2 linked regions of the Saccharomyces cerevisiae S288C genome follow. The gene in region 1 interacts genetically with each later gene. Each region holds a gene or a part of one and is shown in the gene's direction. Other genes may lie near its edges.

What was found.
Region 2: mutations in CWC22 (region 1) and YCL068C together harm fitness less than expected from each alone (positive genetic interaction), as found in Saccharomyces cerevisiae (one large-scale study listed by BioGRID).

Annotation. Positions count from the first base shown.
Region 1 is NC_001139.9:1,045,008-1,053,720, forward strand, and holds CWC22 (U2-type spliceosomal complex subunit CWC22), read left to right. Parts: upstream 1-1,723; coding exon 1,724-3,457; downstream 3,458-8,713. Other genes in the region: RNH70 (Rnh70p), read right to left, coding at 1-473; CAB4 (putative pantetheine-phosphate adenylyltransferase), read right to left, coding at 637-1,554; SCW4 (putative family 17 glucosidase), read right to left, coding at 3,791-4,951; PXR1 (telomerase inhibitor), read right to left, coding at 5,903-6,718; ATP-binding cassette transporter YOR1, read left to right, coding at 7,817-8,713. UniProt on the Saccharomyces cerevisiae protein: May be involved in pre-mRNA splicing.
Region 2 is NC_001135.5:8,626-14,186, reverse strand, and holds YCL068C (uncharacterized protein), read left to right. Parts: upstream 1-1,901; coding exon 1,902-2,684; downstream 2,685-5,561. Other genes in the region: HMLALPHA1 (transcriptional co-activator mating type protein alpha), read right to left, coding at 378-905; HMLALPHA2 (homeodomain mating type protein alpha2), read left to right, coding at 1,169-1,801; VBA3 (basic amino acid transporter), read right to left, coding at 3,105-4,481.

The DNA of each region.
Region 1 (8,713 bases):
GAATTGTAGGGCGAAAAGAGCGTCATCTTGGAACCAGGTGCCATCACGGGAAATGTATGAAACGTGGAGGCAATTTCTCCAGGAATATATTTGAAGTTATCATCACTGATTTCATTAAAGGTATTTTTTCCGTTCTCAAAATCATCTGGTTGTAAACCTGGAATGAACAGAACTATCATTTTCTGTAAACTTGACCTGTTACAAATATCAATCCATTTGGGAGAGTTGTTTTCAGCCTGCAACAAGTATTGAGTCATGTCTCTTACATCCTTTATACCAATACCTTTTTCAACCACAGACTTTAGCAATGTGCATGTCATAGGCTTTGCCTTTTTTTTCTTCTTATTCTTATTCACTTCCGATACCACATTTGTATGATCATCCTCTTGTACAGAAGTCTTGGATAACCTTCTTTTCTTTGATCCCAAAGCCAAATCACTCACGAAGTTAGTGTCAGGCCCTTCTACTTGCATGTTTGCCTGAGTATAGTCTATTATTGTTTTCTTCCTCAGTCATCCTTGGTATTGCCATCGAGCAAAAATCTTCCCTCCATTTCTATTGTGTCCTCGCGCCACTTATAAAATACTAACAATAAAATAATAGTGAACTACAACAATAAAATATACAAAAATATGTTTATACGCAAGGGTTTTGTGGAGTGCACGTTGGCGAAGCAGAGGACTTAAGTAGGCGTCTGATTTCCGTGCTGCTTAACTTCTCGCTCCAGCCGTCTTCCTCCCTTCCTCCAAGTACATTAACCACATGTACTGCCAATGGGCTCATGCCTTTTTCAATCCTAGTCTTATTCACAGTCTCTGCCCCACTGACGGTTTCTCTACTCACAACTAAACATTCTATCTCGGGTACTTTCCCTGTGGGGCCGCACACGTCCCTTAAGGGAACTAGTTCTACGGAGAGATCCGGTTTTAACAACTTGATGAATTGATGTACGTGCCTGCATCGTGTATCATAAGGTTCAATCAACTCTTTGTATTTCTTGTTTTGCAAGAGCTCATCGCACGTAATTCCACAAATTAACCTTTGTGACGTGATGAATGTAGAGACGCTCAACAATATTTTATGTCCATCGTGAATGTGGTCGAACGTTCCGCCCAATGCGGTGACATGAAATTTGTTAGCATCTTTGGGACCTTCTATCTCTTCCATTATATTATCGTGTAATGCATAATGTTCTATACTATGGTATTGTCCTTGTCCCAACTCTAGCTTCCAAGTTTCAAAAGTGGATTCCTGTGGCAATAAAACCACTTTCCATTGCAAATTACTCTCGACGAAATGAATATTGTTGAATATGATGTTGATTCCGCTGTTGATCATTCCATAGCCCAAAAGGACATCCCTGGTAATACTGTACATCTTCCCTAGCGCAGAATCCAACTGGAATGAGGTTTTGAATTCAGGTACAATCACGATGTCTAGTTGACTTTGACATTCTCTTAAGAACGGAATAGTTTGCCCTATAATCCTCTGCAAAGTAGCACTAGGCGGTGTATAAGGAAGAACAATCAAAACTCTGGAATTTTCCTCAACCATCTTACACTTCTTTACTTTAGATTTTTAGGTTTAATCACGTCTCTTTTTATGACGGTCCTTATTTTTATCTTTTTCCATTACGTACTCTTGAAAAATTATATTACACTGATATTTATTTTGGCATTGTGAGTAAGAAACCTAAAAAGGAATAAAAAGGCTACAAACCAGCATGTCTACCGCTACCATACAGGATGAAGACATTAAATTTCAGAGAGAAAACTGGGAAATGATAAGGTCACACGTTTCACCCATAATATCCAATTTAACAATGGACAACTTACAGGAATCGCACAGAGACTTATTTCAAGTCAATATACTTATTGGCCGCAACATAATTTGTAAAAATGTTGTGGATTTTACTCTGAACAAACAGAATGGCAGGCTAATCCCTGCTTTATCCGCTTTGATTGCCTTGCTAAATTCTGATATTCCAGATATTGGAGAAACTTTAGCAAAAGAACTAATGTTAATGTTCGTGCAGCAATTCAATCGCAAAGATTACGTGTCCTGCGGAAATATCCTTCAATGTCTGTCCATTTTATTTCTTTATGATGTAATTCATGAAATCGTGATCTTACAGATTCTATTGCTACTCCTTGAAAAGAATTCTTTACGACTGGTCATTGCCGTGATGAAAATATGTGGCTGGAAACTTGCACTTGTCAGTAAGAAAACCCATGATATGATTTGGGAGAAGTTAAGATATATTTTGCAAACACAGGAGTTATCTAGTACACTACGTGAGTCGTTAGAGACTCTGTTTGAAATAAGGCAAAAAGATTATAAATCTGGGTCTCAAGGTCTGTTTATATTGGACCCAACTAGTTACACAGTTCATACGCACTCCTATATTGTTAGTGATGAGGATGAAGCCAACAAAGAACTGGGAAATTTTGAAAAGTGTGAAAATTTCAATGAACTAACCATGGCGTTTGATACGCTACGACAGAAGCTGCTGATAAATAATACGTCCGACACAAATGAAGGTAGTAACAGTCAATTACAAATCTATGACATGACATCTACCAATGATGTCGAGTTTAAAAAGAAGATTTATTTGGTTCTGAAAAGTTCATTATCAGGTGACGAAGCGGCTCACAAATTGCTAAAATTAAAGATTGCGAACAATTTGAAAAAAAGCGTGGTAGATATAATCATCAAATCTAGTTTGCAGGAATCTACATTCTCTAAATTTTATTCTATTTTGTCCGAACGTATGATAACGTTCCACAGGAGTTGGCAGACAGCTTACAATGAAACTTTTGAGCAGAATTATACACAAGATATCGAAGATTATGAAACTGACCAACTGCGAATCTTAGGTAAGTTTTGGGGACACTTAATATCTTATGAATTTCTTCCAATGGACTGTCTTAAGATAATTAAGTTAACTGAGGAAGAATCGTGTCCTCAAGGAAGAATTTTCATCAAATTTTTATTTCAAGAGCTCGTAAATGAGCTCGGATTAGATGAGCTGCAATTAAGGCTAAACTCCAGCAAGCTTGACGGAATGTTTCCGCTGGAAGGAGACGCCGAACATATAAGATACTCCATAAATTTCTTTACTGCCATAGGATTGGGCCTGCTCACAGAGGACATGAGAAGCCGGTTGACAATTATTCAAGAAGTTGAGGATGCAGAGGAAGAAGAAAAAAAATTGAGAGAAGAGGAGGAACTTGAAAAGTTACGGAAGAAGGCCAGAGAGTCACAACCAACCCAAGGGCCAAAAATTCACGAATCCAGGTTATTTTTACAGAAGGACACCAGAGAAAATAGTAGATCAAGATCGCCATTCACAGTGGAAACAAGAAAACGTGCTAGATCCAGAACTCCACCAAGAGGATCGAGAAACCATCGTAACAGATCCAGGACTCCGCCTGCAAGAAGGCAACGGCATAGATGAAGAGCCCGGCCAAACAAACATTACACATGTAATCGTACATATTTACATAGAACCGTACACGCTTTTAGCCAAAAAAAAAAGAAAGGTAGAATATAAAATAAAAACTCGTATTTCGTATTAAGACAAATATACAGAAATACAAATGAGATCATAAACGAACTAAAATAGGAAAATGAAAAAAAAAAAAAAAGATTAGCGAAGGCAAACCAGAAAGCAGTCCTTTGATATAACAGAGAAAAAGAAGATTATCAAAGCCTTAATTTAAAGTTAAAAATATTGGGTATCGTTTTTTAAATCAAGATTTTTTTTGTTTTTTTTTACAATTGAGTAGACTTATTCATTGGATAGAATACCCCAGTATTTTTCAACACCGTAAGCACCGTCGGCCTTCCAGTAGTCGTTGAAGGCAGTGAATAAGAAGGTATCAGCACCACAGGAGCTGGTAATGGCGGAAACAGCGTCCTTTTGATTTTCCTTAGATGGAACAGCAACACCGTAAGTCTCACCCTTTGATGGCCAACCAGACTCAGTGATAACAACATTCTTCTTACCATCACAAGCAGTCCAGACTCTTTGGATTTGTTCTAGTAACCATTTACCGGAGTCTTGGGCAACTGTGTTCTTGTCAAAGTAAGCATGGGCATTAACAGCCATGTAGTCGGAGTAGTCACACAATTCAGGGTTGTTGATCACAGCAATAAAAGTATCAACAGAAACAACTGGACCAGTGTAACCGGCAGCCTTCAAGGCAGATCTACCAGAGTCAATGTATTGACCGACTTGGGATGGGGTAGCTTGGTTACCGTTAACCAATTCGTTACCAATGGAAACAGTGGTGACATCGTCCCAAGAACCGTAAGATTCAACAGCAGACTTGATGGTGTTGACACCGTCTTGGATTTGGTCAACGTAGTAAATACCTAAAAAGACTTTTTGGTTCGAAGCCTTAGCCTTGAAAACATTTTCAACTTGGTTACAGTCGGTACCGTACAATCTAATGACTGGGAAGTCAGTCAATTGAGCTAAATCGGAAGCAACTTCCGAAGCGGATTTACAAGCACCGCTGGACTCGTATGGGGTATAAGTGATACCTCTGACACCAGAGGCAAAGCTGCTGACGTCTTCGCCGGAAGAACTAGAGGAAGAAGCTTGGGAGGAAGAGGAAGATTGAGTAGATGTAGCAGCAGAGCTGGAGGCTGGAGATGCGGCAGCAGAAACTTGTGAGTTGTTCTCAGAAGAGGAAGCAGCAGCGGTAGCTACAGAAGCAGCAGACGATGTTGTACTGGTAGCGGCAGCTGGAGCGGAGTTGACAACAGCATTTTCTTCCAAAGCAGCAACTGGAGTTGAAGCGGCACCATTAACAATGATAGTGGTTTGTTTTTGAACAGTGGTAGTGACCACAGCACGCTTGTCCTTGTGTTCGTGGTTAGCGGGAGCAGCAAGAGTAGCAGCAGATAAAAGAGAGGCAGAAGCAATTAGGTTAGAGAGACGCATATTTTTCTAGTTTGCTTTTCGGTATGGCTTGCTAGTATATAAACGATTGTAGATGTAAAAGAATGACTTAGTTGGATTTAGTTAGATATCTAGCTGGACCTTTGTGTAAACACTATTAAAAGAATAGAATAAGGGCTAAAAGAACTACTAAACAGAAAACAATTATGACAGAAGATAAAGAATACATATCTATTAGTTTTATAAAACAGAGATCTTCTCCTCGAGGAATGGGAGAAAACAGAAAAAAAAAAACAAAAACAACGGTGCCGTTTTTGAAACAACACCACAAGAGAAAATTTCTGAAAAAAATGCGCGTGAAAAGGAATCATGTGCCTATTTTCCTCATTTGGAGAGGCTAAACGAAAAGGGAAAAGAGGTGCGTTGCGCGTGTTTCTAGGGAGAAGATCCTATTGCAGCAGGGTGTCGCGCGAAAAGCGGTGCCTACAAATTACAAAACCCTCTGGGAAATGACCGTGCAGGGTCGTTTGTGGATGCATCTCGATTAGGCCGGGCTAGGCATCTTGATTCTTTCCCAAAATGGAGTTAACGAGCTCGATTGGGCGTTAATTGATGGATTTGGTTACACTGATACGAATTGAGCCCGTTTATCATTCATGCAGCGGCTTTATGGAGGGTGTGGAAGACGTTAGCGATGTTATGCTTTCCACTTGCTCTACTATCTTCCATCAAACCCACCTAATAAAGCTGAAGGTTTTGCAGGGGCAGAAGTCGTGGCGCAATAAGTTCAATAAATACTTATAATATTACTTACTAGTTTAATCATGTATGTAAAAACTCGTTGCGGTATGCTGTCGTACTGGCACACATTTTTTTTTTTCATTTTTATTTGCTTTTTTCTTTGGCACCGGGGAAGAATTTTTCCCCACTCTATATATCTTGCTGCGTGTGCAGACTGGCCAGCTGCTCACACAATGAAACGCAATGGAATGTTTAGTCGTTTGTTATCATAAAGATCTCATTCAGTGCCTTGGAGTCCATCAACGCGGCCCTCTTTTGTTTTATCCATTTGGAGCGCACCGATAGTCTTGTGTTTACCGCATCGGGGATATTGGATGCAGATTCACTAGATTTTAATTTTGACGTCTTTTTCGTTTCTTTGGTCTTTTCCGCCCTTTTTTCCTTCTTCAATCTCTTCTCTTCCTTTTTATGTTTCTTATGCTCCTTTTTGTCCTTCTTGTCTTTTTTCTTGTCTTTCTTATGCTTTTTGTGCTTCTTGTGCTTCTTTTTATCACTGTCTTTATCCTCTTTGTCGTCATCATCTTCATCTTCGCTATCGTCTCCTTCCCTCTTTCGTTTCTTCGCGTTGGAGTAATTTCTTAACTTGTGAGTCTTTGGATCCCACGTGCTTGCTAAAACTTCACCCTTCACAAAATGGATACCCCATTTTCCGTCAATAATCTTCTGCTTTCTCTGCGTGTCCAATTCCTCTGATATTTTGCTTTCCTTTCCGTTCAGCCTACCAAGAATTCGCTGGAAGACATCCAACCCTGCGCATTCACCATTATCAAACTCGTCTTTTTTGTCTTTACGTTTTAATTTAGCACCGAGCCCAACGTTGTCGTCCTTAATTGACACTTTGATATGCGAAGTGTTCGAATTCATGGGGGATAACCCCAGACCCATACCGGGTTTCCATCCAAACTTTTCTAGAAATTGGTGCCCGAATCTCGAGGTGTCGTTACTCCATGCCGTATTTCTGGGGTCTAAACCAAACCGCTGTTTGGTTCTTGTAGCTGCCAAACCCATTCTGCTTCTTTGTTTAATGGTGTAAGCTGCCTATATGTTACTATTGAGTACTCATCTCATCGCTTCTTTCAGAACAAAATTTTTCATATTTTTTTTTTTTCCTTTTCTTTTTTTTTTTTTCTTTGACTGTTACCCGGTTGTTTATATTTGTAGGAAAACAACAACGACAGAGAAAATATCCTTGCAGTGGCGGCTAATTTGTTAGTTGACTGATTGATCACCTTCACTTATTAAAGTAAAATCAGCATACAAGAGATCAGAAGGGAGAAAGAGAGTGGGCAAGGCTATAGTACTTTGAAGAAAGCATCTTTGAACCGACCAGTTCTCTTCACAAGCAAAATCTATATGACTAACCGCAAGGGGCAAAGGGTTGTGAGAGGGCCCGTCTTTCTCCCGCTATAGCCGTCACTGGTATCCCTCCTGGCTGCACAAATCCGATAGAAAGGGGAAGAAGGAAGTTTAGTGCCACCTTATAGCACGCAGTTACTGTTTACGCTAAGGAGAGGCATACTCAATTTTTATTAGTCGCCTTCTTTAGTTGCTGCGTTTTTATCCACGGTTCTCTACTAAATGCTTGCGATAAGCGCTTCTATTTTCCTCCCCACCGCGAGGCGGAAATGGCACATTTTTTTTCTTTTGCTTCTGTGCTTTTGTTGTAATTTTTGGCATGTGCTATTGTATGAAGATAACGCGTGGTTCCGTGGAAATAGCCGGAAATTTTGCCGGGAATATGACGGACATGATTTAACACCCGTGGAAATGAAAAAAGCCAAGGTAAGAAAGTGGCAATATTTTTCCTACAAATAGATCTGCTGTCCCTTAAATGATTACCATACATATATATATTTATTACACATCTGTCAGAGGTAGCTAGCGAAGGTGTCACTGAAATATTTTTTGTTCCAGTTAGTATAAATACGGAGGTAGAACAGCTCTCCGCGTGTATATCTTTTTTTGCGCTATACAAGAACAGGAAGAACGCATTTCCATACCTTTTTCTCCTTACAGGTGCCCTCTGAGTAGTGTCACGAACGAGGAAAAAGATTAATATTACTGTTTTTATATTCAAAAAGAGTAAAGCCGTTGCTATATACGAATATGACGATTACCGTGGGGGATGCAGTTTCGGAGACGGAGCTGGAAAACAAAAGTCAAAACGTGGTACTATCTCCCAAGGCATCTGCTTCTTCAGACATAAGCACAGATGTTGATAAGGACACATCGTCTTCTTGGGATGACAAATCTTTGCTGCCTACAGGTGAATATATTGTGGACAGAAATAAGCCCCAAACCTACTTGAATAGCGATGATATCGAAAAAGTGACAGAATCTGATATTTTCCCTCAGAAACGTCTGTTTTCATTCTTGCACTCTAAGAAAATTCCAGAAGTACCACAAACCGATGACGAGAGGAAGATATATCCTCTGTTCCATACAAATATTATCTCTAACATGTTTTTTTGGTGGGTTCTACCCATCCTGCGAGTTGGTTATAAGAGAACGATACAGCCGAACGATCTCTTCAAAATGGATCCGAGGATGTCTATAGAGACCCTTTATGACGACTTTGAAAAAAACATGATTTACTATTTTGAGAAGACGAGGAAAAAATACCGTAAAAGACATCCAGAAGCGACAGAAGAAGAGGTTATGGAAAATGCCAAACTACCTAAACATACAGTTCTGAGAGCTTTATTATTCACTTTTAAGAAACAGTACTTCATGTCGATAGTGTTTGCAATTCTCGCTAATTGTACATCCGGTTTTAACCCCATGATTACCAAGAGGCTAATTGAGTTTGTCGAAGAAAAGGCTATTTTTCATAGCATGCATGTTAACAAAGGTATTGGTTACGCTATTGGTGCATGTTTGATGATGTTCGTTAACGGGTTGACGTTCAACCATTTCTTTCATACATCCCAACTGACTGGTGTGCAAGCTAAGTCTATTCTTACTAAAGCTGCCATGAAGAAAATGTTTAATGCATCTAATTAT
Region 2 (5,561 bases), on another chromosome or scaffold:
GGATGGCACAAGGAACACGCATTTTCCCAAGGCTTAGTATACACATCCTTAAATACGAAAGTAAACATTAATGTTTGACTAAAATTAAGATTTGGTAAATACAGTATATAGACAATGCAATCGTACTAAAAACTAAATGGAACACAGAAAAGAGCAGTGAAAGATTTCTTTGATTGTTTGCTTGAGTCTGAGTAATATCATATTTTATACAAATACATAGACATAAACAAAAGAGGCAAGTAGATAAGGGTATAGCCATATGAGTGTATAAACAAACATTGGGAACAAGAGCAAGACGATGGGGAGTTTCAAATAGGATAGCTATACTGACAACATTCAGTACTCGAAAGATAAACAACCTCCGCCACGACCACACTCTATAAGGCCAAATGTACAAACACATCTTCCCAATATCCGTCACCACGTACTTCAGCATAATTATTCGTCAACCACTCTACAAAACCAAAACCAGGGTTTATAAAATTATACTGTTGCGCGAAGTAGTCCCATATTCCGTGCTGCATTTTGTCCGCGTGCCATTCTTCAGCGAGCAGAGAAGACAAGACATTTTGTTTTACACCGGAGCCAAACTGTGAGTAATATGCTCTAAAAGCCATAAATGAGTTTAAATATTTCTTTGAAGATTTTATAGATGTCTTATTGAACTGTCGAAACTGAGTATTTTGACTTCCAGACGCTATCCTGTGAATTTGGATTTTATTTAAAAATCGAGAGGAAGGAACAGGAATCTGGATATCTTTCTTGAGTGGTCGAATAATATTGAAGCAGCTTGGCCTCACATGCTCAGCTAGACGTTTTTCTTTCAGCTTTTTTGAAACCGCTGTGTTTCTGTATGATTTGGATGCTTTGTTCTTAATTTTGAAAGCAGGCTTCGAAGTAAACATATTGTGAATGTCGTCTATTAAGTTATTATATATGGTTGATACATTTCATAAAAAGTGAAGGTTAAAAGAAGTAGTTAAGAGTTTAAGTTGTTTCATATGATGTACTTTTCTACATTGGGAAGCAATAAATTGCATCCCAAACAAAACCCAGACATCATTAATGTTTTGAAACATAAAATGTTGGAACTTAAAAATATATATAAAGGAGAGATTGAAATCAGCTTAGAAGTGGGCAAGAAAAAAAGGAAGATAAGCAAGAAAAAATGAATAAAATACCCATTAAAGACCTTTTAAATCCACAAATCACAGATGAGTTTAAATCCAGCATACTAGACATAAATAAAAAGCTCTTTTCTATTTGCTGTAATTTACCTAAGTTACCAGAGAGTGTAACAACAGAAGAAGAAGTTGAATTAAGGGATATATTAGGATTCTTATCTAGGGCCAACAAAAACCGTAAGATTAGTGATGAGGAGAAGAAGTTGTTGCAAACAACATCTCAACTCACTACTACCATTACTGTATTACTCAAAGAAATGCGCAGCATAGAAAACGATAGAAGTAATTATCAACTTACACAGAAAAATAAATCGGCGGATGGGTTGGTATTTAATGTGGTAACTCAAGATATGATAAACAAAAGTACTAAACCTTACAGAGGACACCGGTTTACAAAAGAAAATGTCCGAATACTAGAAAGTTGGTTTGCAAAGAACATCGAGAACCCATATCTAGATACCAAGGGCCTAGAGAATCTAATGAAGAATACCAGTTTATCTCGCATTCAAATCAAAAACTGGGTTTCGAATAGAAGAAGAAAAGAAAAAACAATAACAATCGCTCCAGAATTAGCGGACCTCTTGAGCGGTGAGCCTCTGGCAAAGAAGAAAGAATGAGCCCGAAAAACAAATATGTATATATCTGTGTAGAATATATATATATATATATTTCGCAAAAATACATAAACAATCAACCCTCTCCTCAGACACTACTAAGATGTTTGTACTGATAGATAATGTCCTCGCCTACCTTCTTGAACAAGACGACCTATTTGTAACCGCACGCTTCGCTATCCAGGGCCAAATTGTCTCAAGAAGAGTTAACAAAATACATATCTCCAACATCACAGACGTCCTTCTACAACAATTCATAAGTCACACACTGCCCTATAATGACAATATCGTCCCAAAAAAAATCCTCGACAGCATGAGAACGGCCGTACGGCAGTTGCTGGAAGCAACTGCCTGTGTCTCTAGAGAATGCCCCCTCGTCAAAAGAAGTCAGGACATAAAAAGAGCAAGAAAACGTCTACTCAGTGACTGGTATAGGCTCGGCGCTGATGCAAACATGGATGCCGTATTACTAGTTGTTAACTCCGCCTGGAGGTTTCTGGCCGTCTGGCGACCCTTCGTAAACTCAATCCAACATGCAACTCAGGAATTGTATCAAAATATCGCCCATTACCTTCTTCATGGCAACGTAAATATACAGAGGGTCACAGCACTACTACAGCTCGTAATGGGACAGGACGATTTACTTTTTAGTATGGATGATGTTCTACAAGAGGTCTTCAGAATACAGCTCTATTTGAATAAGATGCTGCCGCACAACTCTCACAAATGGCAAAAGCCATCCCCCTTTGACTCCGCAAACTTACTACTTAACTTCAGAGACTGGACAACTGACAATGCTCTCCTCCAAGAGTTGCTACTATCCTATCCCACAATTAATAAAAACAAACACAAAAATCACTCCGTCCCTCGTCTAATACAAGTTTGAATGACGATTTTTCTGAAATCTTTGTTTACATTTCATTCTATGTGCGCTAGATATAAAAATCTTATTGTGAAAGGTGTTTGAATCAATTTGAAAAAATGTAGGTTGAATTTGGTTAGATTTGGCCCCCGAAATCGATAATAATGGCCAAATACTAAGTACATTAATTAGTTAATTGTTCTTTCATTAATAATTTGAATTCCAAATAAGTCCGTGCCGAAAACTTTAATGTTTTAAAAAAACATAAAAAAATCAAAAACCCATTCATAAGATACTGTGTTGATCCATATATTAATAGGTTTTAAGTACATATAGAATACTTAAGAAATTACATTCCATTGCGATACACCTATTTGATTCTGATTGTGTTGAAGTCTGTATAAAAGGCGAAAAAAATAAAATGAAAATAAGAAAATAACTGCGCTACTTGTCTTCTAAATTATCTTCTGGTGTCTCGTCCTTTTTTGGTATGATTAATTTCTTATTGGATGAAAAACTACAAAACAAAAATCCTAAGGCATAAAACCCTAGATCCATCCAAAATACGTTCTTAATGGAGTCGCTTAAAATGTTTCCAATAGTCGAATGAGAACCGTCGTAGTTTTGAAGACGATACAAAATCATGTCATCAACCGTTTTTCCTTCGTAAGGCTCTAGATGAGCTCGTGATACTTTGTTGTGAAAGGAGGCGGAAAAAACAGTGGTTGAAAGCACACCACCAAGAGTTGTACCTAATGACTTCATGAATGTATTGAAAGCTGTTACTTCAATAAAGTCCATAGCAGCTTCTGGACGATCTTTGGTAATTTGAAGCTGTGCACTCATGAGCGATGCTTGTAGAGCAAATCCAAGGGAAAACCCCGGTAATAGCAAAACACCAATTTGAGTTGACTTCGTGGACGTATTTGTCATAAGTGTCATAAGCCCTGCTCCAATTACCCCAAGAACGCCTCCAAATATTAAGAGTGGTTTAACTAAACCGAGCTTTTTGGTAATCACACCACTTGCAATGGCCGCAATAACGTTGGTAATAACGATTGGTATCAAGTGAAGACCGGCTTTCCATGCACTCGACGCAAATATAAGTTGGAAAAACTGGACAGAGTATATCATTTGCCCATTGTAACCGGTACATAATAGAAATGTTACCATGTTTATTATTATTATGGCTGGTTTTGCTACCAATCTTCTTAGAAGGAGAGGCCTGTAGGATATATTATCAGGTTCCGGGTTGAATTTATCGAATAAGAAGAAATCGTACACCAATGAAAAAATAAAAAGTAAGACACCCAAAACCAAATATGCGATGACTTGGCCAGAGTTCCAACTATATTTATTACCACCAAAGGTTAGCCCCAGTAGGAAAAGGACCAGCCCTGCAGAGCAGAGGGCAAAACCAAAGAAGTCAAACTTGAAGATTATGCCATTCATAAGTCTTTTAAAATTAACTTGGTGTCTGAACTTACTAAAAGTAAAGCTCGAGATTGTTCCTATAGCATCTTTAATTTGTTGAAGTATACCCTTATTCTCGGCCTTATATGTGAGTAAAAACATAATAATGGCAAGACCACCGATAGGAAGATTGATATAGAAGCACCACCTCCAGGTAACATGGGTTGTAAAGGCACCTCCGATTATAGGACCAACGATAGCAGCTACAGCAAATGCACAACTTAGGATGGAAATCACCAATGGACGTGACCTTTCACCAACCATCGTACAACCAATAACAAAGCAAAGCGTTTGAAGTCCGCTTCCCCCAACACTAGCAACAACTCTACCGACAATGAGCATATTCATTGAAGAGGCAAGGGCAGCAATTAGGGATCCGGCTTCAAAAATAAGTATTGCTAAAATGAGACTATGCTGGAAACCTATGATAGATGCGAATCTTCCCCAAATGAGACTCAGAATAGCATTTGGTAAACTGTAGCCTGTAACGAGCCAACCTGTTTTGGAGTAGTTTCCGAACTGTTCTGCGACCACGTCAATAATAGTTCCCACTATCAAAATATCCAGTGCAGTTATGAATAGTACAAGAGTTCACGAAGCCAGGCAGAGGTACAAGGAAAGTCCCATTGGAGAATCATTGCTACCTCTAGCATTCAATGAAGCGTCTGAACCACATGCTTCTTCTATCTCCTGCTGCGAAGAGTACTTAGTTTCCTCCATATTTTTGAATTTCTATCGATTAAGCTCTATACCAGGTATGATCTGGTCTGATCAGTTCTAGGTATAAGCATAACTAGAATACATCTATACATGTGTATATCTATATCTATATATATGTATATATATATATTTAAACCAAAAAAAAAAAAAAATTCGCTTCTCATAAAGGTGTGATGACACTATTATCTTTTGCATATCTTGTCGTCTCGTATCATGTACGCGCTGCATATGAGGTGCGGCGCTATCTGTTAAATATGTACCAATTTGCACCTGCTGCAAAGGAAATGTGGCACTACTTTTACTCGCATGTTAACTTTCACCTACTATATATAGAAAAAAGGGTGTTGTTTTCAATCGCTGACTAATTTGCTCAAATACTCTTTACAAAAAGGAAATTGTGTATCAGTAACCCTTACGGTTTGTTTATGAAGGAACTTTGCTCGTCCTACACCACCGGATCTAGGTACTCAATTTTTTGATGATTTTGCACTTGTGCGCATATCCTGTCGACAGGCACCGCATTTTTTTCCTTGTTTCAACAGACATAAACACAAGCTTCACTCATCAGTTTGAAAAGAGATAGTTTCGACGGTACAGTATTCTTGTCGTACAAAAGTCTTCGGTATAACTGGTTCGTCGTGGATTTTCGGAAACTAAGTTGATTGTACGACGACAGGTCAAAGTTAAAGTTAAAGTCACCAGGTGTAT